Caenorhabditis elegans: one gene and its partners. The protein of the gene in region 2 interacts with the protein of the main gene of each other region in a pairwise test. Each region holds a gene or a part of one and is shown on either strand. Other genes may lie near its edges.

Region 1 (4,817 bases), on a different chromosome or scaffold from region 2:
CGTAAGTTTGGAATGTTTAATTTTCATGAAAAATTGGTTGGAATATTTTATTTTGATTGTCAAGTTAAGAAATCACATGTTTTGATGTAAATACTTAAGAAAATAAGTTTTTAATCTAGTGTTAACATTTTTAGCTGGATAGTGAGCGAGATTCAAAAATTTCAGCCTTCATTTTGAAATTATGAATATGAAAATAAATTCGCAACATAATCTGGAAGCTTAAAATCTTACTGAACGAAAAAAAAACAGGTTTTTAATGTTATGCATTACTTTGAAATGCTAAACTGAATTGCTGGTTATAAAATACATTCAAAAATAATTAAAAAATTTTTTGAATGGACCAAAAAAATATACCCGAGTATTTTATTTTCCCGAGTATTATACCCGAGTATTTTCCCTCTTTCCCTATGTGTTTTGTTGCTTAATTGATGAAGCGGTGCCAGAAAAAGAATTCGCTTTCGCTCCTAGCTTTATTTTTACTCTCAATCTCTAAAACCGAAGCCGACAGCGGTGTTTGGCTTCTGCCAGTTCAAAAAATGGGAGGAGCAAGGAGAGAACATAGTATGCAAGCTTTTTCTTCTTTTTTTGGAAAATTTTGTGTTGGTGTCTTTTGGAAGAGCACGAGGAGAATGAGAATAAAAAAGAATTAGGATAGAAAGCAAGATACTTCTGTTTTTATTACTCCTACGGAAAAAGAATGCTTGGGATCGGCATGAATACGTAAAAAAAAGGAAATTGGACAAACTACCGTAACTTTTATGTTTCAAAATGGAAAATTCGTATTTCATCTTGTATTACTTTTCCAAAAGAATTTCTTTGTTAGTCGTTAAAATATCAAATAGCTGATTATTACAATTAAAATAATTGGATAAGGATACAAGTTATATGGACAGTAGGTTATTTAAACAGTTTGAAAATTTGACAAAACGTGGTAATATCTAAGTATAATTCGAATTGATGCATGCGGGCAAACTTTCAAAACAAAAAAAAACACTGAGCATGCAAATACCGTACTTATGTTTTCAAAAAAAAAACTCAAAATCACATGCTTTCGGAACTAAAAACAAAATCCAAAATCCTACTAACCCTCACATGAGCTCATAAATTTATGTTCCTAACTCATAAATGTGTATAGATTAATCTATCAGTGTCAGTGTCAGAGCCAGATTAAAATTTTCTTTTTTTTGCATTTACTCTTATCTTCAGAGAAAAATTAATCGAAGAAGAAAAAATCACGAGAACTAACCCGTCAGAAGAATTCGGAGAGAACATGAAGTTGTTGTTTTCAGTTGGCAGTTGTTGTCCATTTTGAGGGCAAGAAGGTGACGTTAGAACAGGAAGTGTTCCGGTCGGTTGAGATGAAGCTTGTAATGCTGGATCTTTGGGTTTTGGTGGAGCACGTTTTCGTTTTCCACCGTTCTTTTTTAATCGACGCATTTGCTCGTACCACCGGCCGATTCGAGCTGAAAATTTAGATTTTTAGAGGGTTTCAAAAAATCTGCTGGAGAATAGGGAATTTTTTGGTATACTTGAATGTGACCGCCCGCTTCTTCATTTTGTCTTCGTTCATTTAACTTTGCAAGAAATCGAACACTTTGACCAAACTTTGGACAAACTTTTGTTCAGCATATGTTTTCATGTATTACAAGTCAGGACAAGGAAGGTCAAGTCTGAGCAGGGTTTGGCCACTCTTCGAAAATTTAAGCACAAGAGCATCAAAATATTGAAAGAATTATCAGGGCTGAGAAAATTAATTTTTCTGGAACATACAAATAGAGGTGGAGTTGCAACAACGATAATTTTTATTTATTTATTTCTTTAAAACACTTAAAAATAATAAATCGTTTTAGAAACTTTGTTTGTTCTTGTCACAATTTTGATGAAAATCTTGAAATATAAATTCCTTGTGAAAGATTTAATAGTAGTACACAGAAATAAATTGAATGATCAAGAAATTTTGAAACAGTGAAAAATTGTTTTTAAAAGGAATTCTATTTCTGCGTGCCTATTTTTAAAACCAGTTTAAAAAAATCAAAAACATTTTTTTAATAGTATGTCAGTGAAGGATACTCATGACAAACTTGGAAATGTAATTTTTAAAAACAGAGCAACATGGCCTAATAAAATTATTTAAATTTTGTTATCTAAACTCCATTTCCAGACAGAAAATAATTTTTTCTGATAACGATCATAGACAGGCCAACAAGTTCAATCCGGAAATGTGTTCAACTTACTGGCTGCTGGCTTTGATAGATGCTTCCGGTGTGTGAAACAAGCTCCAACTAGGCCATGAGTAAGCATATAATCGTAATTTTCCCTGGTCCCATAATCCATTGCCGCCTGAAAATTTTACATTCGCCATGTTTAATTTTATTTGAAAGTGTACTTCTAAAGCCATCATCAAGTTATCCTCAAAGTGAGCAGTAAAAGCTCGTTGATCTTGACACCATTTGGTAAGTTCGCTACACGCTTCCGGAAATGTTGACACATCGATTAGGTTCTGAAATTGTTTTTTTTGTAATTGAACTAGGTCTATGATTTCTTTAATTTTACCTGCACGACTTTAATAAAGTTCGAAATTTCGGAAGTTTTATATGTAATTTTTCAGAATTAAGAAGTGTTATAATGTTGTAAATGCTCATTTAAAATTTTATGGGGCTCTGTTAAAATAATCTTGTTATGGGTAGTAGTATTGTTAAAAAATGCGGTAAAATAATTCTTAAAGTTTTGTTCTCAATTAAAAATCAAATAATTGCATTTTTGTTGTATGTAGCAATTTTTATTAAATGCATAAATTTTCGCTGTATGCATAATATTGTCAATAGTCAATAAATAAAAATTAATACTAACTCTAAAAACTAGAGATTCTTGGAAAATATCACTAGAAGCATTTTTTGGAAACATACAGCTCTGAGTGAAGCAAGTCGACTGTTCGTTGTGGCCACGTGCTCCGCAAAGGTAGGATCAGCCATGTCGGCTGAGTTAAGGACCCTGAAAATTGACTTATTGGGTTTCAATCCAATTTATAGAAAATCAGGAAAAAAGACGAATACGAGGGAGAAATGAAGAGAGATGAAAAAGAAAAAGAGACAATTAAAACGATTGGATTGTGATTTATTGTCCAATAAAAAGTTTAGTGGACATTTGTGTAAAGATATTGTGACGTGTGAAAAGTTAAAAAATTGAAAATTGAACACTCGAAAAAAGAGAAATTAATATTATATATATATAACTCGGCTGAAAGACGTAACAAGCAACAGGCTCTTAAAAGTTTAAAAGAAATACGAATTGTAATAAAAACTAGCAAGGTTTTAGGAAATATCGAAATTTTTTATAAAACTTTAGAATATGTCAAAACTTGCAAGTGGCGTTATTAAAAAATTTGAAGAAACAAAAATGGTAAAATGTTATTAGTATTCAAAACAATCAAAATACTATTCGAGTTTAAGGAATAAAAGCAATGAATCTGAACGACAAAAAAAGGTTATGAAATGTTTCATCAGAAAAAAAAACTGTGGAAACTAGAATCTCAAACTGGAATCTTGATGATTCAAAAATCATATGAAGCACGAAAAAAGCGTAGGGCTATTCAGAAGAAATCGTCAGAAAATTGGTTGTTGGCTTGTGGAGGTGAGCATTGGCATTGGAGCAGCGCCATGCATGTGTCCGGAAAACACGTGCGAGCTCCGCGCGGCAATGACGCGGTGCGCGGAGCAACCGGAACACACGTATAAATAAATACACATAAACAAGCCGAGCAAGAGAGCATCTCAATCGGAGAGGCGCAGCGTATGGAGAGAAATGATTGCGACCAAATGTCTTGGGTTTCTGAGCTCTCATCAAGTACGAGATGGAGGGACGATGGAAGACACAGAGATCGAGAGAAAACGGATCATTTACATATGGGACAAGAAGAATAAGAAAAGTGGAAAAGAGATGATGGAACAATAATTCAAAATATCATAAGTCAGAAACGATTAAAGTTATTTAGAATTTTTATGTACTTTCAAAGTTTTAAATATTCAGAACACCCAGAGGTATCTTATATCTTGTACTATTGCATTCGGTTTCAGAAAATTATCATCGTGAAGACTACGAAACTATGCTAGATATTTCATCAAATACTTTCCTGAATTTTTGACCCAACTTCCTTGAAAATCTCCACGAGCGCTACTCCACATTTAATTAAAAGGAATAGGAACACCTGAGCATTGAACATTGCGAATAATTTGCACTTTCTGTGTAAAAGTTTCAAGTGTTAAATATATCTCTGACCTTTTCGTACATCACTGTTTGCTCACTGCTATTATCAGACCAAAAAAAGAACATTCCCTCCAAAACTACCAAAAGTTCAGATGTTGCTATCATGTGATACCTATGAAATTGATTGCGAATCTATTTGCTTCCAACTTGATATAAAGATGATTGATTAGAATGATAAAACAGAAATCATAATTTTGTTGAGACACTTTTTCGAGGAACAATAAGAACAATTTTGTAGGATTTATATATCGACAGAAAAAGAATCTAACCTCGATAGTGAAAGTTAATTCAAAATATACTGAAATTTTGCTCAATCATTTTTGGAATTTTCTGAGGTTTCGTAATCAAGTTTTCTTTTTTTTTAAAGGTGATGCAAAATTTCAGAGTTTTCATGATTTTTGTCAGAAACATGTAATGGAATTTTGCCTATTTTTTAAATTTAGTTATGAAAAAGTCTATCCAAAAAAATTGGGCAGAAGCTTACTATTAAGGGATTATAACTAACTATAAATTCCATATTTAAATTTTTTTTAAAATCACGTAATAATGTTAGA
Region 2 (7,884 bases):
ATCATCGTTGAACCGCCTTTAATCCAGCTTAACCTAGTACATATTGTGCAGAAAATCGACTTTTTGCCATTGGAACACCTGCTTCTAACGCCCTACCCTCGTGTTTTCATCTGTTTTTCACGCTACCGTGATAATTGGTGTTGCGTAATATTTGAGAACGAGAAGAAGCGATTAAGTGGACTCACCATTCGGGAACATATCTACAATATCGTCACGGCGTGGTCTTCGGGATTGACGATATCCTCCAAAACGAAGTTGTTTCATTCTTCGTTCCTTGCTTCGGCGGTTTTGAAACCACACCTGTAAAATGGAAATTTATTTGGAAAACAAATTAATGGAGAAAATTATCTATTAAAGGTAAACCCTGTGTCATTTGGAAAAATATATTTTGAGTGAGCCCCACAGAAAAATTATGTTATCTGTAGAAGAGCATTTTGAACTTGAAAAAGCCGATCTGAAATTGTTCATTTTCATTCTCGGAATTTTACCAAAAGTAGATTTATGGAAGATTCTTAAAGATTTTGGAAACTTTGAATTTTTTGAAAAAAATTACTGAATCTTTTATCACCCAAATTCAATTTTTAAAATTTCAGATTGTTTTGAACGATTGAAAAATTTTCGAAAACGCCCGGATTATTTTCCCAAGTCCAGAAATCCAAGAAAAAAAAGAAAAAATAGTCGAATTTTTTTTTCAATCATATGTTTTTATGAAAAAAAGTTCTATTCAGATCGAGTTTTTTCAGTTCCGAATGGTCCTCTGTAGTTGACTACTTTTTCATTTAGAAGTTTAAAAGTGAACTAAAACACTGTACACGAAGATTAAATTTTTGAAAAAAATCAATATAGAGAGCGAACCCTTTTTTAGTTCAGTTATTTCCAAATTTTCGAATCAAAACACTAAAAGTTATGTGTTAGCAGTTTTTTAAGTTTACTATTATGGGGCAACTGTGCAGATAAACAGAATTAAAATTTAATTGATCGGTGGAAGTAGGCTAAAAATATTTCACACAAAAAATTAAGACTACAATTAATTTTGGAATTCCGAATATTCAGGGTTCAAAAATTTGAACAAAAAAACGAATTTTCTGAGTTCAACTCAAATTTCTCATTGCAATTCTCTCCCTTGACCACTCAGATTTTTATCTTCCAAATTGAAATTGTTTCCCATTTTCTCTTTCATCATCATTTTCGTATAGCTCTCTAAACACAACCAATTTCCTATGGCTTTCCGTTAAGTTTCCTGTTATCAGTTATTATGATTATGATCATTATTATTTCTATTGTTACATAAAAATCATGTGATGTGTACATCTTTCTTACAGTAAATAACATGATATTAGTTAGAAACTACAGTATCCACTCACTTTTTTCTCTTTTTCTTCTTTCCGTTTTTCCCTCTCTCTCCTTTCAAGGACTACGGTAATTGAATTTGTGTGTGTGCGTGTGGAAGGATGTGTCCTCCCCCAAGAGAGAGAAGGGCGGGGCAGGTGAATTAAAGCGGGAAATGAGAATTTGTGAGAGATAGTGCATTTCGAGGATACTTAGACATGTGCAAAAAAAGAAAAAAAGAAGAAGAATAGAAACCTGAATGACTCTCATGTTGAGTCCTGTCTCGGCGGCAAGTTGTTCACGGATATGTCGAGTTGGTTTGGGTGTTGCGGCGAACGCGTTTTTTAAGGTTTCAAGCTGAAAATATTTATTGAAGCTTTGGACAGTAATAAGATATTTTTTAAGTGGGGAAATTCAAGATTTTCAGCAGGAAACGCTGGATTCTTTATCAAACATTAATTAGAATTTTAAAATCTGATATCCTCTGTCAGTTTTGCCCAACTTTGGCAGCACAAATCTTGATCAGACTATGTTTTACCAAAAAATTGTCAACTGACAAAATATTTGTTACACTGACCTGGATTTAGAAATTTAATTATTTTTTCAAAAAGTTATTTCAATAATTATGTTTGCACTTTCCTTTCCGACATAGATAATTTTTTCTACTTCAGAAAACTCACTTGTTTTGCTTTAATTGTCGTTCGAGGGCCACGCCTTTTCGCAGAATTCGAGTCATCTGAATTGTCCTTCCCACAATCGCCTTCTCCATCATCGAGTCCGACCTGAAATTTTAATAAGTTAGATTAGATTCACTTTGGTTCTAACAAAACATTTTGACTTGTAAGTTATAGGTTAAATCTTTTCAATATTTTTAGTGTTGAGCCATTTTTGCAATCATTTCAAATGATACCAGCTGTCAAAAGTAGGGAAGTATGCTTCTTTATTAAACTGATTAGAAAAATATTTGTATTTTTTAAAGATTCGTTTACAGCAAACTTTTTAGCCACTACTAGAACTTTCTATTTTAAAAAAAAGTAAAAACTGATCCTAAATGGCAATTCCAGAGAAGTATATATTTCAGACCCACCTCATCACAAGCATCCACATTATCCTCCTCCACATCGGAATTGCATTCGGATCCATTGGATACTGTAACAAAAGAACATCATCTGTCTAATACCAGTGTATGTCCATTCCGCAACGAGATTATCCCCCCTTCCTTACTATTTTGCGGTAATTCGAATACAAAGAAATGTTTTCTGTGTTGACAGCTGTCTGTCTCTTCCTCTTTTGTGCAGAGATACCTATCATCGTAAAACTATTCAAACAACACATGGCTCGCTGGCTCATCTTAAATACGTTTGAAACGGAAGCATGGATTAGAACGTATGTCTCTGGTTTTATGAGAAGAAGAAGAAATTTCTAAGGATTTTATGACTTGAAATCTGGGAATTCTTTTTTGACTTTTTGGGTATCTACTGAAAATTATGTCTGGCGGTGTTACTTCAGAGATAAAGAATTTCATGGTAGGTAGGCATGTGTTCAGGCTCACTTGTCTGCCTCTAGCCTATCTGCCTTCATTCAATTATTGGAGTAGGCCTTGGACGCCTCAGCAGTCAACAATTTTATGAAAACTCCACCTTCTACCATAACTTTGAACAACTTTTGTATTATCTTTAAAACTCAATTCTTCGTCTCTTTCTCTTTCCCTTTCTTTATTTTTAAAAACCTTACCGGGCCTATGAATCGATGTGGGCGTTGATGTTTTGGTTGCTGTTTGAAAATCACTTTGACACACGAATCGATTGCCTTCCATGATATAAAGCTGCAAAATAACACTAAAAATTCCGCGAAAAAAAAACAAAAACAATCGTGGGAACCCCTCGCATATTTTCATGACAGTTGGAGCTGTCTCAAACCTTGACTAGGTCCCCCGTGTAATGCAATTATAAAGTATAATAGGTTAGAGACGGATGGAAAGAAGATGATTGTAGAGTGACAACAGGACACATCCCAAAGGGAATTGGGGAAGGTTTTGAAGCAGGAAGACAGGATGGAAAATGGAAGGAAAATGGCATTGAGATAAGATCTACCGGTTGGTCAGTGGGTAGTTTAACTGATTTGAAATTAATATAAGCAGAAGCAATGAGCAATGAGAAGATAATATGCGCCTCGAGACATTTTGAACGGTTGCTCCAAAATCCTAGTATTCTTGGAAAATTGTTTTAACGTATTGTTTTTCAACTGATAATGAGAAATGTTTAAAGTATGGTGTCCGGCAAATACTTCCGGCAACTATACAACGACAACCAAATTTTTCAAATAAAACAAATTTTAAAAAAATTAAAATATTTGATTGATCTGAAATAAAGTGTTTTTTTTTTGGAAAAGTTCAAAAAATCTGAAAAACTTTAACAGTAGTTTTGATAACTTCCGAAACAGTACTTGAAGTATTTTTCAAACGTTCCATTTAAAATATTTATTCATTATTTTGAAGTCAATCGAATATTTTTTTCTATATTTCTACATTAATTTTTCTTTTTTAAAAAGTAGAATTATTATACCAAAACAAACAGTATGGAAGTTGAGAGGGTTTTTAGATATTCAGCGCGCCTCTAGACAGAAATAGTTTTTGATGTTCCCTATAATGTTTATGATCAAAATTTTAATCAACTATCTGTTTCATCTACATGAGTCAAAACAATACTCAGAACAGCATCAATGACATTCAGTGACATCTTCTATTCAAGAAAACAAAACATTTTGAATGACAAGAAGGCGTGAAGCTTGAGTGGTAGAGAGCTCTCGGTAAGAGGCAGGTGCAACTGACAGGGGCTCATGATGGGGACACATTCAAGAGGTGTGAGCATGTGATTTTTAGGGATCTGCGTATCTTATTTGCAAATGGGCTTATCAGTATAAGTTAGACGTGAGAAAATAGCGACTATGAATATCTAATTTCATCTGAGTCACCGCTCAACTTATAGAAAAACCTTGATAATGGTGGAGACAAGCTTAAAAAGAACTGCCAGTTAAAACGTCAAATATCACTTACCGTCAGCCTTAAATAATATAAAACTTATTTGAAACTTTAGTTCAATTAAGGTACCAGCCTGGATTAATATATAAGATCAAAAGTACAATCAATCTTATATAGAGAAGAGGCTTAGCCTGGCTCACCTGGTCACCAGTGTCCAATAACCTTTGACAAACGGAGCATTGAAAACATCGAATATGAAAAACTTTATCTCTTGCTCGTCTCACCAGATCCTCTTTTTCCAATTTCCCATCGCATCCGGCACACCGTTGACTATATCGCCTGAAAATCACAATCAGGTAGGTAAAATAATTATGGACACCGTGGGAACCGTGGGAAAATTTAGATATAGAATTTGAAATTTGAAAATCAAAATAAGCAAGTAAGATTTGTTTACTACAAGTGAGCTTGAAAGCATAAGAAATTTGAGAATTTTGGAATATGATCTTCAAAACTTTAGAACATGTTTTGGGAGGATTTTGGAATTGCGGAATCTTTAAATTTTATGCCGTCATTTGCTTGAATATATTCTCCTAGCCCTTTTTGGCAAAGTTTTGGAACTACAATATATCCAGGAGTGGGTGACGATTCGCAGTACGATTATTTGAATTGGCATGAAAAAAACCAATTTTTCAATATGAAAAATATGTTGCAAAAGACTGAAAAAAATCTGAGAGACTTACTGAAAATTGACATCTACCAGAAAATAGTTATTACAATTTCATACCAGATTTCAGGACTTTTTTTTATTTTTCAATGAAAATAAACGTAGTTTTCAAATTGATCATGTTTTATATATTTTTACATAAACTTTTGACTAAAAATTTGGAATTTTGAAATTGTCACTGTTGAAGAATCTTAGAGGTTTTCAGCTTCAAAACTTCAGCGTTCAGTTAGAACTTTTAAAGTTTGCACACTGGAAAATTCAATGGAAAATTCATCACAACCTAATTGTAAGATGTTTTTGAACTATCTCCAAGAGCTCAAAACTTGCAGCCCGGCTCTTTATAGATCACAGTTCTTAGAAATTAATGTTGCTCGGAACTTACCTTGAAAAATCAGTTTTACACAGAATAAGACCATCTCTACTAAAACAAGTCATTGACATGGGCGCTCGACAGTCACAACATCGAAGACAAGACTGATGCCAGCATTTTCCGAGCACAGTGAATACATATCTGAAAGTAAGTGAAAGTGTCGGCTGAAAATGAAATGACTGCTAGTGCTGCTGCTGTCGAAGGGGTTGAGAGGGGGAAATGAATCGAAAATGGAAAAATTCAATTAGGGGCGAGAGAGGTGGTGTTACAGCAGCTAGAGATGAAAATTGGAATGAGACTAAACGGAAAATAATCATAAATTGCAAAAAAAGGTGAGGGACCGATACCTGTCAAGAATAGGCTGTGCACACGCGGCACACTCATTTCCACTAATTTCAGAGATGTGCGGCTGAGTCGTTGACGATGGCATCATCCACGTGGCAGAGTCGAGAAGCAGCAACGTGGCAGATGAGGTGACACTGCCGACGTCTTCAATTGACTGCTGATGAAGATGATGAGCAGGAGGCTTCTTCTCCTCTTCTTCCAGTGAGGTGATGATGAACGAAGAAGAAGAATGCATTGAGAAGGGAGTAAAAGGAGGAGGAGAAGAAGAAGAAGAACGACCACGAAGGTTACGGTGGTTGGGGCACCAGGAGGCTGGCTGGTTGATGGGCGGAGTTATTGACACAAGAGAGAGAGAGAGAGAGAGAAAGCCTGAAGAATGAGAGCTATTGAGGGAAAGAGAGAGAGGAAATTACGAATGTTGAAGCCTAGAAGAAAAATAAGAAGAACGAGAGAATAGGGATCGCTTTTGGTTTAAATGCTCATGATAGTTCAAATATTTTTCATTCACCGTATTTTCTGTATTGCACTACGTTTTCTTTCACACCTTATATCTCTGTTATCTTCAGTTATATCAAAAATAGTCAACATGAGAAATAAAGAAAAATATTTTCCAAGTATTTTATCAGTTTACAATTTTGATAAAAACTAAAGACAGCAAAAATATAAGCTTTTAAAGTAGATCAAAAGGGGTGCAAGTCTAATAGGGTAGTTTTTATAACTTCAAGGGGTGGTTTTTAGTAATTTTTGTTTTGATAGTGACATTATTCTACGATCAAGTTTTGCAAATTACGTTTAATTTTTTTCGGATTTTTTCTGGAATTTTTTACCAGAAGAACGATTGTCTAAAATGGGATACCGTATATATTAATTTTGTACCAATCTACAAAACGGCCCACTTTGGTACAATAACGCAACTTTTCAAATGTGGAAATCTAGAAAAATATTTGGTTCATATGAAAACCAAGTCAATTTTATTAAAAATTTCAGAAAAATCGTCAAACTTTTCCTTAAATTTGCCATTTTCCATAAAAATTGTTTGTGATATTTTTTTAGGCAGTCAACATTCAGCCAGTTTTTCAGATTCTTTTCAATCTTCGCAAAAAAGATTGGGGTTATTTTCAAATTAATACAATATTTTTATACATACATTTTAAATTCAAAAAGTTTGATTATCGTTCCGAAATCGGAAGCTTTAAAATGTTTCTTTTAATTTCAATTGAATTTTTAATTGAACACTTTCTGAGCTGTTAAAGTTGTATAATTGAGTGCGCTAAGATTTAATTCGCTACTTTGAAACTTTCCATTTGTTTTCATCGGGGTCATACAACTACAATGATTTTTACTTTTTTGTATTACATGTTATTTTAGGAACAAATATCCTAAATTAGAAGGATTTTTCTCAGTTCAAAACTTCGCAAGCTCTGTAATTCTGTATTCAAATTGTTTTTCAGCACATTGAAAAAAGAATAGCTAGTCCGGTAAAATACAACCAAAACTTATTTAACCCACAGAAGCAATCTCTTGATAAATACCAGTGAATCGACGGATCAGAGGCGCCCCTTGACGCCTCGACCAAATGAAATCTTTAGACACCACCAATTCAAAATTTTAATTCAAAGAGCCGTCAATGGAACAAATAAACACAGTTTCAATCAGGTTTCGAGCAAAAAGTTCTGCTCTTCACCTGTTTGACTTTGGGCATGTTTTCAATATAATACAAACCACATCCAACCGAACAGAATCAGCTGGATAGAAGGACAAACTCATTCGATATGAAATCAAAAGTGTCACGTATACAACTAGAGTAAAAGTGAAATGATTTTCTCATTTTGAACTTGTCATTTCTTGTGTGTCAACTATATCTACGAGTTCAGTGATTGTTATTTTTTCTTCCGGTGAGGTTGTCCTTGGTCTAGTGTCATCCCATTTCGGGCTTGTCACCTCCTACTGAAACAATGCCATTTCGCGCAGAAATTGGAAATAAAACTGAAGGATTACGGTAATAGAAGACGAGCGGAATGAGATGACGGTAGAATGTGATTCAGTGGAAATTCCTCAATTCATGAATGAGAAGATTTCTGATCATATGAAGACTGTAATGGAGCAACAAGAAAGAGTTTAATTTGATTACAGAAA
Region 3 (5,219 bases), 4.2 Mb from region 2:
GACGGATTCGTTGAATTGTTCATATGTAAATGTGGGAATTCGAGTAGTTGGTTGAAAAACTCTAATATTTGGAATTCGAGGACGAGGTAGTTGAGGTTTTACACAAGATTCTGCCATTTCTGAAAATATCGATTTTTATTTTTCGACGTTAATTTTTTATGGGCCTTCCTGGACCTTTAGAAAGTTTTTAGCAAATTAAAAAAGGTATATCTAAAAAAATTTGTTTTGGATTTTGTGAAATTTGAAAAAAACAATTAATTGGTTTTTTACATTCTAAACCCTTTTAAAACATTTTATAGAAAATTGGGCTCAAAAAAAAAGTACCGCTACATTTTTTCGAACTGCTCAAAAATAGCTTGCTGAAAGTTTGAAAATGTTAAAAAAAATTTCAAAATCTCATCTTTTCAATTTTTGCGAAAGGAGAAAGTTTCAAAATATATTGGCAAACAATAAAAAAAAAGCAAGTATAATTAAACAGTAAAAATACTGAATACGGAAAAGAAAAAAAATTTGAAAAATCTGAGAAAAAAAATCTTTATTAAAAAAAGAAGCAAAAAGAAACTCGTAGGTTAACCAAAATAAACTGAAAATTGTGAGAATTAATTCTCACAATTTTTCTAGAATTTGAATGAAAAAAATGGTTAAAAAATGCAAAATTTAATAGTGGCCTAGAAATTTGAAATTTGAATAACTCTTCCATTTTAAAAACTAATTGCTGGGTGGAATAGAAAACTGAATATATGAAGTAGAAAATGCTAGTTACCCTATAAGTTGCCTAGATATTGGAAAATGAAAGAGCTTTTTCAAGTTTCTGGTCAAAAATGAACAGTTTTTTGATCTTCCATGCTTCCTCCTTGCTCCACAAATTCCTCTTCATCATCTTCAAAATGAGCCAAGATCTTGACGTCATCACCATCACCAGTGAGCATTATAATCTGATTGTTCTGTTCATGATCATCTTCATAAACAATAACTGAATCCTGTGATTCCTCGTGATTCACTTGAACATGATCGAAAATTGGTGTGAAGAGCTCGGGATGTGCATTTTTTCGATGTCTCATGAGATATACACGACGAGCAAATACTGCATTACATCCTTTTACAACGCATGTGTAACGTTTTATACCTGGAATGTTTCAAAAATTGTAATTTTTGTAGATGACTACTCTTTTAAATATTTTTGAGTTAACATATTTTCAATAACACTCTTAATTTGAGAAAATTCTAAAATTTGCAACAAAAAAAAATGGAAATTGCTTTCTTTTTCTAAATTACCCCCGGTTTTAACCCAAATTTCGGATAGTAAAATATATTTTGAATATTTACCAGTGTGTACAGTCATTTCATGTTCTTTTCTAACAGAATCCGTTACAAAAGACAATCCACATCTCCAAGTACATTCAAATGGACGTTCTCCAGTATGCATTCGACGAATATGTACTTTTAAAGAGCTCGCTTTTGACAATGACAAGCCACATTCTCCACATTCAAATGGTTTTTCGCCTGTGTGTGTTCGGATATGATCCTGAAAAATGGGAAAGAAATTTGTATTTAAAAATAAATTTATCTTTCTTTTTTTTATTAAAAATTGTAATTTTTGATTTCAAAGTTTAGAAAATTCAACAATTTTCGATATAATAAATCATATTATATTTTTCTAGAAATTTCAGAACTTGAGAGGTTTATAAATAGAGAGAAAATTGGAAATTTTGTTTTTTAACACATTTAAACCTATAAGCTTTGATTTAAAAAATTTTAATTACAAATATTTTTTTCTGTTTGCTCAGAAAATCAAGTTTCGAATGCTTTTTATCGAAAAAATTGTTTCTCTGTCCAATTCTCAATTTTTCAGCAAAAATTCAGCTTGTGGGCACTGAAATAATTTTAATTTTTCATTTTTCACCAAAATTCGTTTTTTATCGAAAAAAAAACTAACAGCAATTTTGCTCGGATGTTTAAGCATTAATCCACAAATATTGCATTGTGCAAGTGTTGCTCTTCGATTTGAAATATATGCTCTTTTCTGAGGAGCTTTTTCTGGTTCTTCGATCGGAATTTCTTCATCAATCGGAGCCAAAACTCGAGCCAATACTGTATTAATAACGTCATCAATTCGAGCATTAGATATTGCAGCTTTTTCCATTTCTTTTTCTGATGGATATATAGATTGTTTTGTTGTTTGATTTGATGATTGAAATTGAGAAGGTGAAGAGGAAGAAGTTGATGGATCACTTTGAAATATTGAGTCTCTGCAAAGTTATTTTAATTTCTTTTAAATTTACCAATTCGGAAATAAGATGGAAGTTTTCGAATTTAGAAATTTTCAGGAGTTTTATTTAAATTATCAAAGTTTTTTATTAATTAAAACACCGATTTTTTAAATGTTGTTTTAAAATTTGTTAAAGAACAAAAAGTGTTAAAATCTCAATTTTAAAGATTGCTGATTAAACACCGCAATTCACTTTTTAAAAAATGTAAAATCTTATAATTCTTGTTTTTTGTTGTAATTTTTATTTATTTTATCAAGTTTAGTTCACTTCTGCATATACTTACATCGTTGGTGGTGATATATAATTAGCTAGTGCAGAATTTGAAAGTATATCCATATCCATTGATGGACAAACAATCTTTTTAACTGGTTTCAGATAAGGCCGTGCCGGTCCTGCTCGCTTCTGCAAAAAATATATCTTATTCCGGTAATCTTTTAGGATATAAATGCTTGATTCGATGTTTTAAATTTTTCTATAGCATAAAAACTTTTCTTACCAATCCATTATGGCTTAATTCGTGTGCAGTTCTGCGTGAATTATTCACAAATCGTTTGCCACAACCGAAATTACACAGAAATGGGAGATCACCCATGTGTTGAACACGAAAATGGTTAATCATTGGAGTTCTTTGAGTGAATCTCATTCCACAAATGTCACATTCGTATGGTTTTTCGCCTGTGTGAGTTCTCATGTGTTCCTGAACAAATAAAAATCTTCATTTTGTTATAAAAATAAAATATTCTGTACCATAATCCTCGATGGATATTTCAACGCAACTCCACATACTTCGCACGTCGTCACCGTCGGCAACTTTTGATTTCCTTTCCTTCAATTTTATATTTAATAAATTTTTAGCACAAAAATTTCATACTTTTTTCTGTATGTCGAATCTGGAATCTTGACAATCTCCTCGAGCTCTTCGTGCTCTTTTTGCGCGTCGGGAGTGCACTCAGCTGCCCATTCCTCGAAAATTGCATCGGAATTCTGAAAATTTTTGATTTTCTTAATGAAAATTGGAAAACTAAATTGAAATTAGTTATTTTACTTGCGATAAATGTACTACTTCGTCTAAATCCTCGTTATTCTTCATTTTGGTTGTTTATCGAATTTTAGGATCTGGAAAAATACACAATTAATGGCAATAAGGAAGATTTAATCATATAAACATAAAAATTTTAAAGATTAATAATATTTATATGAAAGGAAAAATTCAACAAAAACTGTTTTAAATAGAAGAAAAAGTCAAATATTGATTTTTTGCGAATAAAAAATAAAATTGAAAATAAACAACGACACTCCGATATCCCGTCTTCGAAAGAGCGCGAAATTTGAATTGAGGGTTTAATAAATATAATTCTTTGCAACGGCTGAAATCTTGTTTCTTAACGAGACAGAAGAAGAAGTAATGAATAGATCATTGCCATCACATCTTCATTTCCATTCAAATATTGGAGTTTAATCTTTAAATTGATAAAAGCCGTTCGGATAACATACGAGTAGAAAATGTTCATAGTGAAACAGCAGCACGTTGATCATGCAAATTCATAAGGAAATCAGGAAGTTTTACGAGTCTAAGAAATAGGCGAATGTTTTGTGTTGTGTATTGAGCGTTAGACAAGGAGATTTACGTAGATAGAATATTTTACTTTTAACGTAGATAGAATATTTATTATGAACATACGAGAAGGAATGTGAATAAAGGCTCAATACTCGAGAAATCGAAGAAAAAGAAATTGAGATGCAACATGGAATTTAATAACGATCTCCGTGATGGCGTGAGCGATCTCTTGAATAATCCCGCTTTCTTCTTCTATAGTCACGACGATGGTGATGCTCTGAACGTCTGGGGGTCCACTCATCTGTCGAGGGGCTTCGGCGACCACGCTGTGAAATTTACAGATAGATTTAGTTGGTTTTTTCGCATGATCGAGGAATAAACTAGGTCATTTTGCAAATTACTCACCCTCTGGTTTCTCAATGGCGATTTCGGTGTATGTTCCCTGTTACGTGGCTGGTGTCCTGCTCCACGTCCCCGTTGATTAGATGGAGACATCGGCGATCGCCTTGAGGGGCCCTCCTCCCGCTGCTCGGAGACGTCTGAAATGTTTGAAATCGAAACGATGGTCTGGGACCGCTTTGCTTCCGGAGAGATGAGGTTCCGGAATCAGCTTGTCCACAGCTAGAGTTGACAATGGTGCACCGAAAGACGAAGAACTCGCCCTATTCCCAAAAAAGTTCCCAAAAGCTGGCTGGGCCAAGCGAGGAGTGGAAGGACCTGTAAAGTCGAAGCTGCCTTCTCCAGATCTTTCCTCGACGGCTGGGATTGATGACCCGGAGACCGCACGATCGGAGAGGAATCCTAGACGTGCTGGTGCAGATGAATCTTCTGGCGCCTTTCCACGTGAGCTGGTAGGAACAACATTCTCTAACCGTGACATAGTCACAGTCTTGATGAACTGAACATCAGGAGATGAGGAGCCATCTCTCTGAGGCCCTCTGGAGTCTTTTGGGAGCTGGCGTACTTCGCAAAAACCCATATTTGGTGCAGGGCTCCTTGTAGTAACCTCTTCTTTAATTGGAAGAGCTGATGTGGAAGAACTGTTGAGCTCTACATCGATTTCCGGAACCTGGTGGCTGTAGGATGTTTTCTTCCTCGAGATCTGATTGAAACACGGAAGATCATCATAAGCAGGAGTTCCTCCAGTCCTCCGAGTGTTGTGGGCATAATTGGAGGAAGTCCTATGCTTATGGTATTCTTCCTTCGATATAACCATAAGAAATACGTTCAGCGACCTATGACGATCCACCGATTTATCTCTTCCTATCGGAGGAAGTACTTCCATTTCCGCGGTCTTCGAGGTGCACAGGTCTCCATTGGTGACGCTGTGATGGTTGTAGAGTTGGCTCGGATCCGTGAGATCCATGCAGCACTTCTTGCAACGGTAGAGG
Region 4 (5,995 bases), on a different chromosome or scaffold from region 2:
TATTTTACAACCGTATAGAGTCCCCGTGTATACTAATGGGTATACAGTTGATTGTAAACATGTGGAGAGATGTTGATGTTGTTCTGAATATCTTTGTCTTGTTTTACGATTTTTTTGGTTGATTTCTTATATATTTTTCCTGCTATAAATTCTAAAATGTGCGTTTTAATTTATGCCTACGTGCCTGCCTACCACCTATCTTCTGCAATTTGGAGTTTCGACTGTGGAGATACGTTTGAATTGGTTTTTTTCGCATTTCAATGTAAAAAAAGTCTCTAGGCAGATTTACGGCTGTAGGCGCTTTAGTAGGTGAGCGTAGGTTTGCAAAAAACGTAGGTCAATAGGCATGCATATTCCTTCAGGCAGGCGCAAAGGCCCTCAGGTATGCATAGGCTTGTAGACAGGCCTGAGTCTATAGGAAAGTGTAGGTCTGCAGGCATTCGGTCTCTAAGTTTGCGTAGATCTTGAGGCAGTTGCAGGTTTGTAGGCACTTGTAAAGGTAAGTAAGTAGGCGTAGGTCTGTTGGCAGGCTTCGGCTTAGATAAGCAGGTTCAGGACTGTATGATGGGGTAGGTCAGTTCGAGTTGTGGGCAGGAGTAGGTTTGTAGGCTTATAGACATTAGGCCTATAAGCATGCGTAAATCCGCAGGCACGTGCAGGTATGTAGGCAGGCGTAGGCCCGTAGGCAAGTGTAGGTCTGCAGGCATGAATGTAGGCATGGGTGTTTGGAAGACCTGCGAAAATTATTTTGGAATTCACGAAAATATGGTAACTTGCTAAGTTTCGACGTAGCTACTTTTACGTTTTTTTTTTTTTTTTTTTTTCATTTTTTTGTATACTTTTTCGGTATACTTTTTCCGTATCTTTCTCTCTTTTACCTACTCTCTTCTTTTACCAAATTTCCCTGACATGCTCTTCTAATAGAGGTGACCCCTAACTTCCCAATCAATAGGTACCAAGTATACCAGTTCCGCCTACTTACCTGACAGCCTACTGCTCCGCCCAGTGGATATAGATGGTTCGGTGGCTGGAATATTAAAGTAGTCATTCTTGTTTTTTGTTGTGGTCCTGGTAGATCAAATTTAGCTTTTTTGCTAAATATTCATTATATTTTTTTACTTTTCTAAACATTTCAATGTCTAAAGTAGAATTTTTTTTCTTTTTTTTCAAACATTTTTCAAAATTTATTATATTTTTTTAAATTATAAAAACAAAAACCTATTGTTTTTACAAGAAAACATTTATTTACCGAGTTTTCCAATTGTAACGTCCAAAATCATGGTTCCGGGTCTCGACACGACAAATATTTTTTTTGTTGGAATTTTCACCCTAGTTCTTTCGATTAAAAAATACATGTACTAAGTACAAAAACTCATAAATTTTACCGAAAATAAAAATTACAGTAGTCTTTAAAAGCACACACCTTTTTGAATTTGACAAAAAAATTCATGTCGAGATCGGGCGTAAATTGCAAAATTTCGCGTAAAATGATTTTTTTTTTCAGAATTTTCGAAAAAAAAAATCGGAATTTTTTTTTCAAATTTTCAGAAATTGAGCCAACCTGGAACTTTTATTTTTTTCAAAAAATTATTTTAATCTGGAATACTCTTAATTTTTCTCCAAATCTAATGTCAAATAAACAGGCCCCTTTCCTCCGCACATCTCCACTTTTTGACTGCCACGTCACCGATTTGACCTACCATTTTCCCGCTTTTTATGGGCCCTCTTGTCTTCTATTCCTCCTTCCGCAAAAAAGAGTGTAGACTAACTATAAGATTGTTTCTAACTTAATTTTCGTTTTTTTTTTGACGTTTTGGCCTTATTTAAATATTTTATATATATATATATATATATTTATTTTCAGAACTTATCCCCAAAGATGAATTATCAAAACGAACAAAACGCCTATCAAATGCAGAATCAGGAAAATGTTCCACCGATGAGTTACGGGTACCCAATGCCAACTCCGGAGCAATTCCAAAAAATGAGTTACGGGCAGAACTTCCAAGCTCCATGGGATATGCAGCAGCAGATTCAGATGTTTCAGCAATATCGTAAGTTTAATTTTTTTTTTGAAATCATGGTGCATCGAAAAAAAAATTTGTTTTGTAAATTTCGGGCAAAATAGTAACTTTATAATAGCAATATATTAGTAACAGGTTCAAATTTTAAAAAAATTTCAGACCAAAATTTCCAAGGAGGATATTCGGACCCATTCACCTACCAGAATCAGTATGCACATCAGCCAAAAATTGTGACGGTCACTTTGCAGGACCCACAGGACCTCTGGAAGGAGCTTCATTATTTGAGTAATGAGCAGAATGTGCTTAATAATGGGAGGTTAGTATTTTTCGTGAAAAATATTATTTAGTTTCAAAATTTTTGAAATTTTCTGAATCTGATGTACAAAATTTTTTTAAATTGCTCAATTTTTTTTGCCTGAAAATTTCGTCTGAAAAAAATGAGCAAAATTTTCGGCAAAAATTTTTTTTTGGAAAATTTTTGAAATTTTAAAAATGTAAAAAAGGATTTAAAAAAATATTTTTTCATAATTTTTAAATTTTTACAATTCTCCAAAGAAACATATTATTTGCTTATATTTTCCGAAAATCTTAAAGTCAAAAACAAACGTTCAAAAAAGTAAACCAACATTTGTTTTTATTAAAAAACAATTTTCGGAAAATTTTAATCTAAAAATTTAGTCAAAAAAGGGCGAAATTTTCTGCAAAATTTTTTTGTCCTAAGAATTTCAATGTTTACTTATTTTTTTAGGGATCAAATTTCATAAAAAATTTAAAAATTCATCTGAAAATTTTCCGCCAAAATTTTATTTTTCGGGAAAAAAATCTTAAATGTAATAGTTTCTCTGAAAAAAAATCGAAAATTAATTTTTTAACTTTGAAAATTTTCTCTTGTTTCTAAAGTTATATCGGATAATTTTGTCTGAACAAATTTGCAAAATTTTCAGCCAAAATTTTATTTATTTTTTTTTTTTAAATTTTATTTAAAACCAATTTTTTCCAGAAAAATCTTCCCAGCCCTCAACTACAAAGTCGAGCATCTCAATCCAGAATCCAACTACAAAGTGGAAATTTTGCTCCGCCGAATGGTCCCCTATCAGATTCAATATTCAAATGGAAGCTGGTCCCGGAAGAATGTACAGAGCAAGAAGACTATTGCAATGAAAACAGAAAAAGTATTTGTTGGAGAGTTCACTGGACAAGATATCATGCGTACCGGCTTGGATTTATCAGATGTGAAGGTGTTTAATATTGGAAGTGATAATAAGAAGAAAGTGACTCCATATGAAGAGATGAGTGACGCAGAGAAACGAGAGTATGATACTCAGTATTCGAAGAAGAAGACCTCCATGGTAGGTACTGCCAAAATGTGGGCGGGCGTAATCTTAAGCCGAAGCCTGATTCAAAGCCTAACCCGAACCCTAAGCCTAGGCCTAAGCCAAAGCCAAAGCCTAAGCCTAACCCTAAGCCTAACCCTAAGCCTAAACCTATACCTAATCCTAAACCTAAGCGTGAGCCAAAGCTTTATCCTAAGCCTAACCCTAAGCCTAAACCTATGCCTAATCCTAACCCTAAGAATAACCTAAATCATTAACAACTAATAATTCAAATTTTTTGCAGCTCGAGGTATCAAATGAGTGCAAGTACATCCCGGTACTCATCATCAACGAGATTCTACCAAATCAAGAGCTTCGATTGGTTGGGGAATTTGAGAACGAGATTACCCAATTTGCGACAGTTTCTTCATACAAGGTAAGACTATAAGGCTATAAGGCTTGATAAAAAATTAGAAGAGTTAGTAATTAAAATTGGCTATGAGAAAAAAATTTCTTTCAAAAAAATTCGAAAAAAATCGATAAAAAATTATTTTCAAAAAATCCCAAAATTTTGCCAACTTATATCTTTGTTTGTTTACAAGATAAAAACAAATGCTCAATTACAAAGTTATAGAAAAATACATGATAAGCATTTTGCTAGTTGACAATTTTTTGATACAGCTCAAAATTATTGAGATATAAGATGATGAATTTGAGCTATAAAATCGTCATAAAAAAATAATTGAAAAATGTTACAAATTGAAACATTGTTGCTACTTTATTTTTGAATTTCTTTCTAACAATGGAACAAATTCAGCGTTTGCTAAATTTATTTAGAATTTCAAACAAATTCAAAAAAAAAACCGCTGAAAATATTTAAAAAAAAAACGAACAAAATTAAAAAAAAAATCGCCAAGTTCCTAGTTTTCAATATTTTTTGAAAAATAAAAATCTTTAAATTTGGAAAATTTAAATTTACAATATTTTTCGGTTATTGCCGTATATTCAAAAAATTCACAAATTTTATACTTACTAATTTCTACAATTTTCTCGCTTTTTTGTATTGCCGAAAAAAGTCAATTTTAAAAATTTTCGGAATTTCTTTCGTTTTCCTTAATATTTTTTGGACTGTTTTTTTTCTAAAAAATGGATACAAAAATTCCACAAAATTTTAGAAAGATTCACAATTTTTTATTTAAAATTTTTTTTTACAATTTCTTTAAAAAAAAACAAATTTCCAATAACTTCCGGTCATTTTTATAATCAACAAATTTTCTACAGTTTCCATATTTTTTGTCGATAAAAAATTCGATAATTAGTCTTTTAAAACTTCTTTTTTTTTTAAAGATTTAACCAAAAAAATTCTGATTTTCATCATGATCAAGGCTGGGACCAAAAAATAATTTTACACCAAAAAAAAAACAAAACATTGAAATTTTCGAAAAAGCAAAAAAAAAAAAATTATGCTTCAATTTATTTTAAATCCTATCTATAATTTGTATAATTTTCCAGAACCACATCGTAAAAGCCTTGCGCACAGCCGCCAACCCAACTTCTCGCGGAGACGCCAAACAGGAAGCCGTTCAGGTCGGAAAGCAATGGAGATCATCCAACAAGTCCTTGCTGGAATCCCTCAGACCATCTATGATTTGCACCAGTGTCTCCACAACTGCTCCAAGCACCAATTTCCATGCTCCACTGCAGTACCCCGGCACCTCATCCCCATCCAGCAACTTTGCTCCAATGACACCTTCCACGTCATTCGACTCGGCGTACAGTTCCTTCAACGTGACGTCATCAACTCCAGAACAAATGTGCTACAATCCGATTCCTTCAATGTCAACTGACTACTCATTTTGCTCATTCGACTCTGCGACATCATCACCGCCACTTCAGCCAACAGCCACGTCACCAGAGGCTTCTCAAAATCAGATTAAACTTGAAATGAACCAATACATGTAATTATTAATTATTATCTCACTATTAACTTTTTCCTTCAAAAACGTTGTCAAAAAAGCAACTTGTCGATTTCTATGTTGAATAACCGTTTTCTTTCCGCTTTTTTCTTATTTCAGTGTTTTTATCTAGCCAACTTCAATAATTTCATCGTCCCGTGTTGCTTTTTTTTTTAAAATAAACTTCATTTTTGAATAGATTTTTGGATTTAAATTGATTTTAAAAATTAAATTAGAATTTAATTAAAACTTTGGGGATGTCTAATTAAAAGTATAAAATTTCTAAAAATTTTAATTGGAAACTCTAAATTAAAAAAAAAACTTTCAATATTCAAGTTTTGAAAGTAATAAAATCAAAATTTTTTTAAAATTTTGGCGGGAAATTCAAATTTTCTGAAAAGAGATTTGGCGGGAGATTCAAATTTTCTGAAAAAATTTTTTTGGAGGAAAATTCTAATTTTTTTTAGAACACGTGGTGCCAGGCTGTCCCATTACGGTTTGATCTACAAAATGCGGGAAGTTTTTGATCAAAAAATTGTGACGTCAACAAGCTCTTAACCATGCGAAATCAGTTGGGATGTCTGCGTCTCTTATCCCGCATTTTTTGTAGATCTACGTAGATCAAGCCGAAATGAGATACTCTGACACCACGTGTTAGAAAACATTTTGGCGGAAAATTACAATTTTCTAAGAAAACAATTTT

Evidence for each region.
Region 1: the proteins of lin-11 (region 2) and miz-1 interact in a two-hybrid assay, tested with the Caenorhabditis elegans proteins (one large-scale study listed by BioGRID).
Region 3: the proteins of lin-11 (region 2) and let-391 interact in a two-hybrid assay, tested with the Caenorhabditis elegans proteins (one large-scale study listed by BioGRID).
Region 4: the proteins of lin-11 (region 2) and tbx-33 interact in a two-hybrid assay, tested with the Caenorhabditis elegans proteins (one large-scale study listed by BioGRID).

What each region holds. Positions count from the first base shown.
Region 1 is NC_003282.8:10,810,583-10,815,399, reverse strand, and holds the start of miz-1 (Zmiz1 N-terminal tetratricopeptide repeat domain-containing protein), read right to left. Parts: upstream 3,002-4,817; 5' UTR 2,973-3,001; coding exon 2,907-2,972; intron 2,501-2,906; coding exon 2,387-2,500; intron 2,341-2,386; coding exon 2,235-2,340; intron 1,464-2,234; coding exon 1,247-1,463; intron 1-1,246.
Region 2 is NC_003279.8:10,246,438-10,254,321, reverse strand, and holds the start of lin-11 (Protein lin-11), read right to left. Parts: upstream 6,031-7,884; 5' UTR 5,984-6,030; coding exon 5,751-5,983; intron 5,545-5,750; coding exon 5,416-5,544; intron 4,649-5,415; coding exon 4,510-4,648; intron 3,155-4,509; coding exon 3,064-3,154; intron 2,479-3,063; coding exon 2,417-2,478; intron 2,112-2,416; coding exon 2,010-2,111; intron 1,687-2,009; coding exon 1,585-1,686; intron 301-1,584; coding exon 186-300; intron 1-185. UniProt on the Caenorhabditis elegans protein: Probable transcription factor which is required for asymmetric division of vulval blast cells. Involved in olfactory plasticity probably by regulating the expression of transcription factor mbr-1 in RIF neurons.
Region 3 is NC_003279.8:6,036,572-6,041,790, reverse strand, and holds let-391 (C2H2-type domain-containing protein), read right to left. Parts: upstream 3,389-5,219; 5' UTR 3,361-3,388; coding exon 3,334-3,360; intron 3,255-3,333; coding exon 3,142-3,254; intron 3,097-3,141; coding exon 3,018-3,096; intron 2,968-3,017; coding exon 2,767-2,967; intron 2,673-2,766; coding exon 2,554-2,672; intron 2,250-2,553; coding exon 1,937-2,249; intron 1,526-1,936; coding exon 1,327-1,525; intron 1,127-1,326; coding exon 816-1,126; 3' UTR 524-815; downstream 1-523. Other genes in the region: szy-5 (C2H2-type domain-containing protein), read right to left, coding at 1-117; C27A12.4 (C2H2-type domain-containing protein), read right to left, coding at 4,310-5,219.
Region 4 is NC_003281.10:11,632,710-11,638,704, reverse strand, and holds tbx-33 (Putative T-box protein 33), read left to right. Parts: upstream 1-1,864; 5' UTR 1,865-1,879; coding exon 1,880-2,054; intron 2,055-2,183; coding exon 2,184-2,340; intron 2,341-3,024; coding exon 3,025-3,373; intron 3,374-3,641; coding exon 3,642-3,773; intron 3,774-4,849; coding exon 4,850-5,299; 3' UTR 5,300-5,489; downstream 5,490-5,995.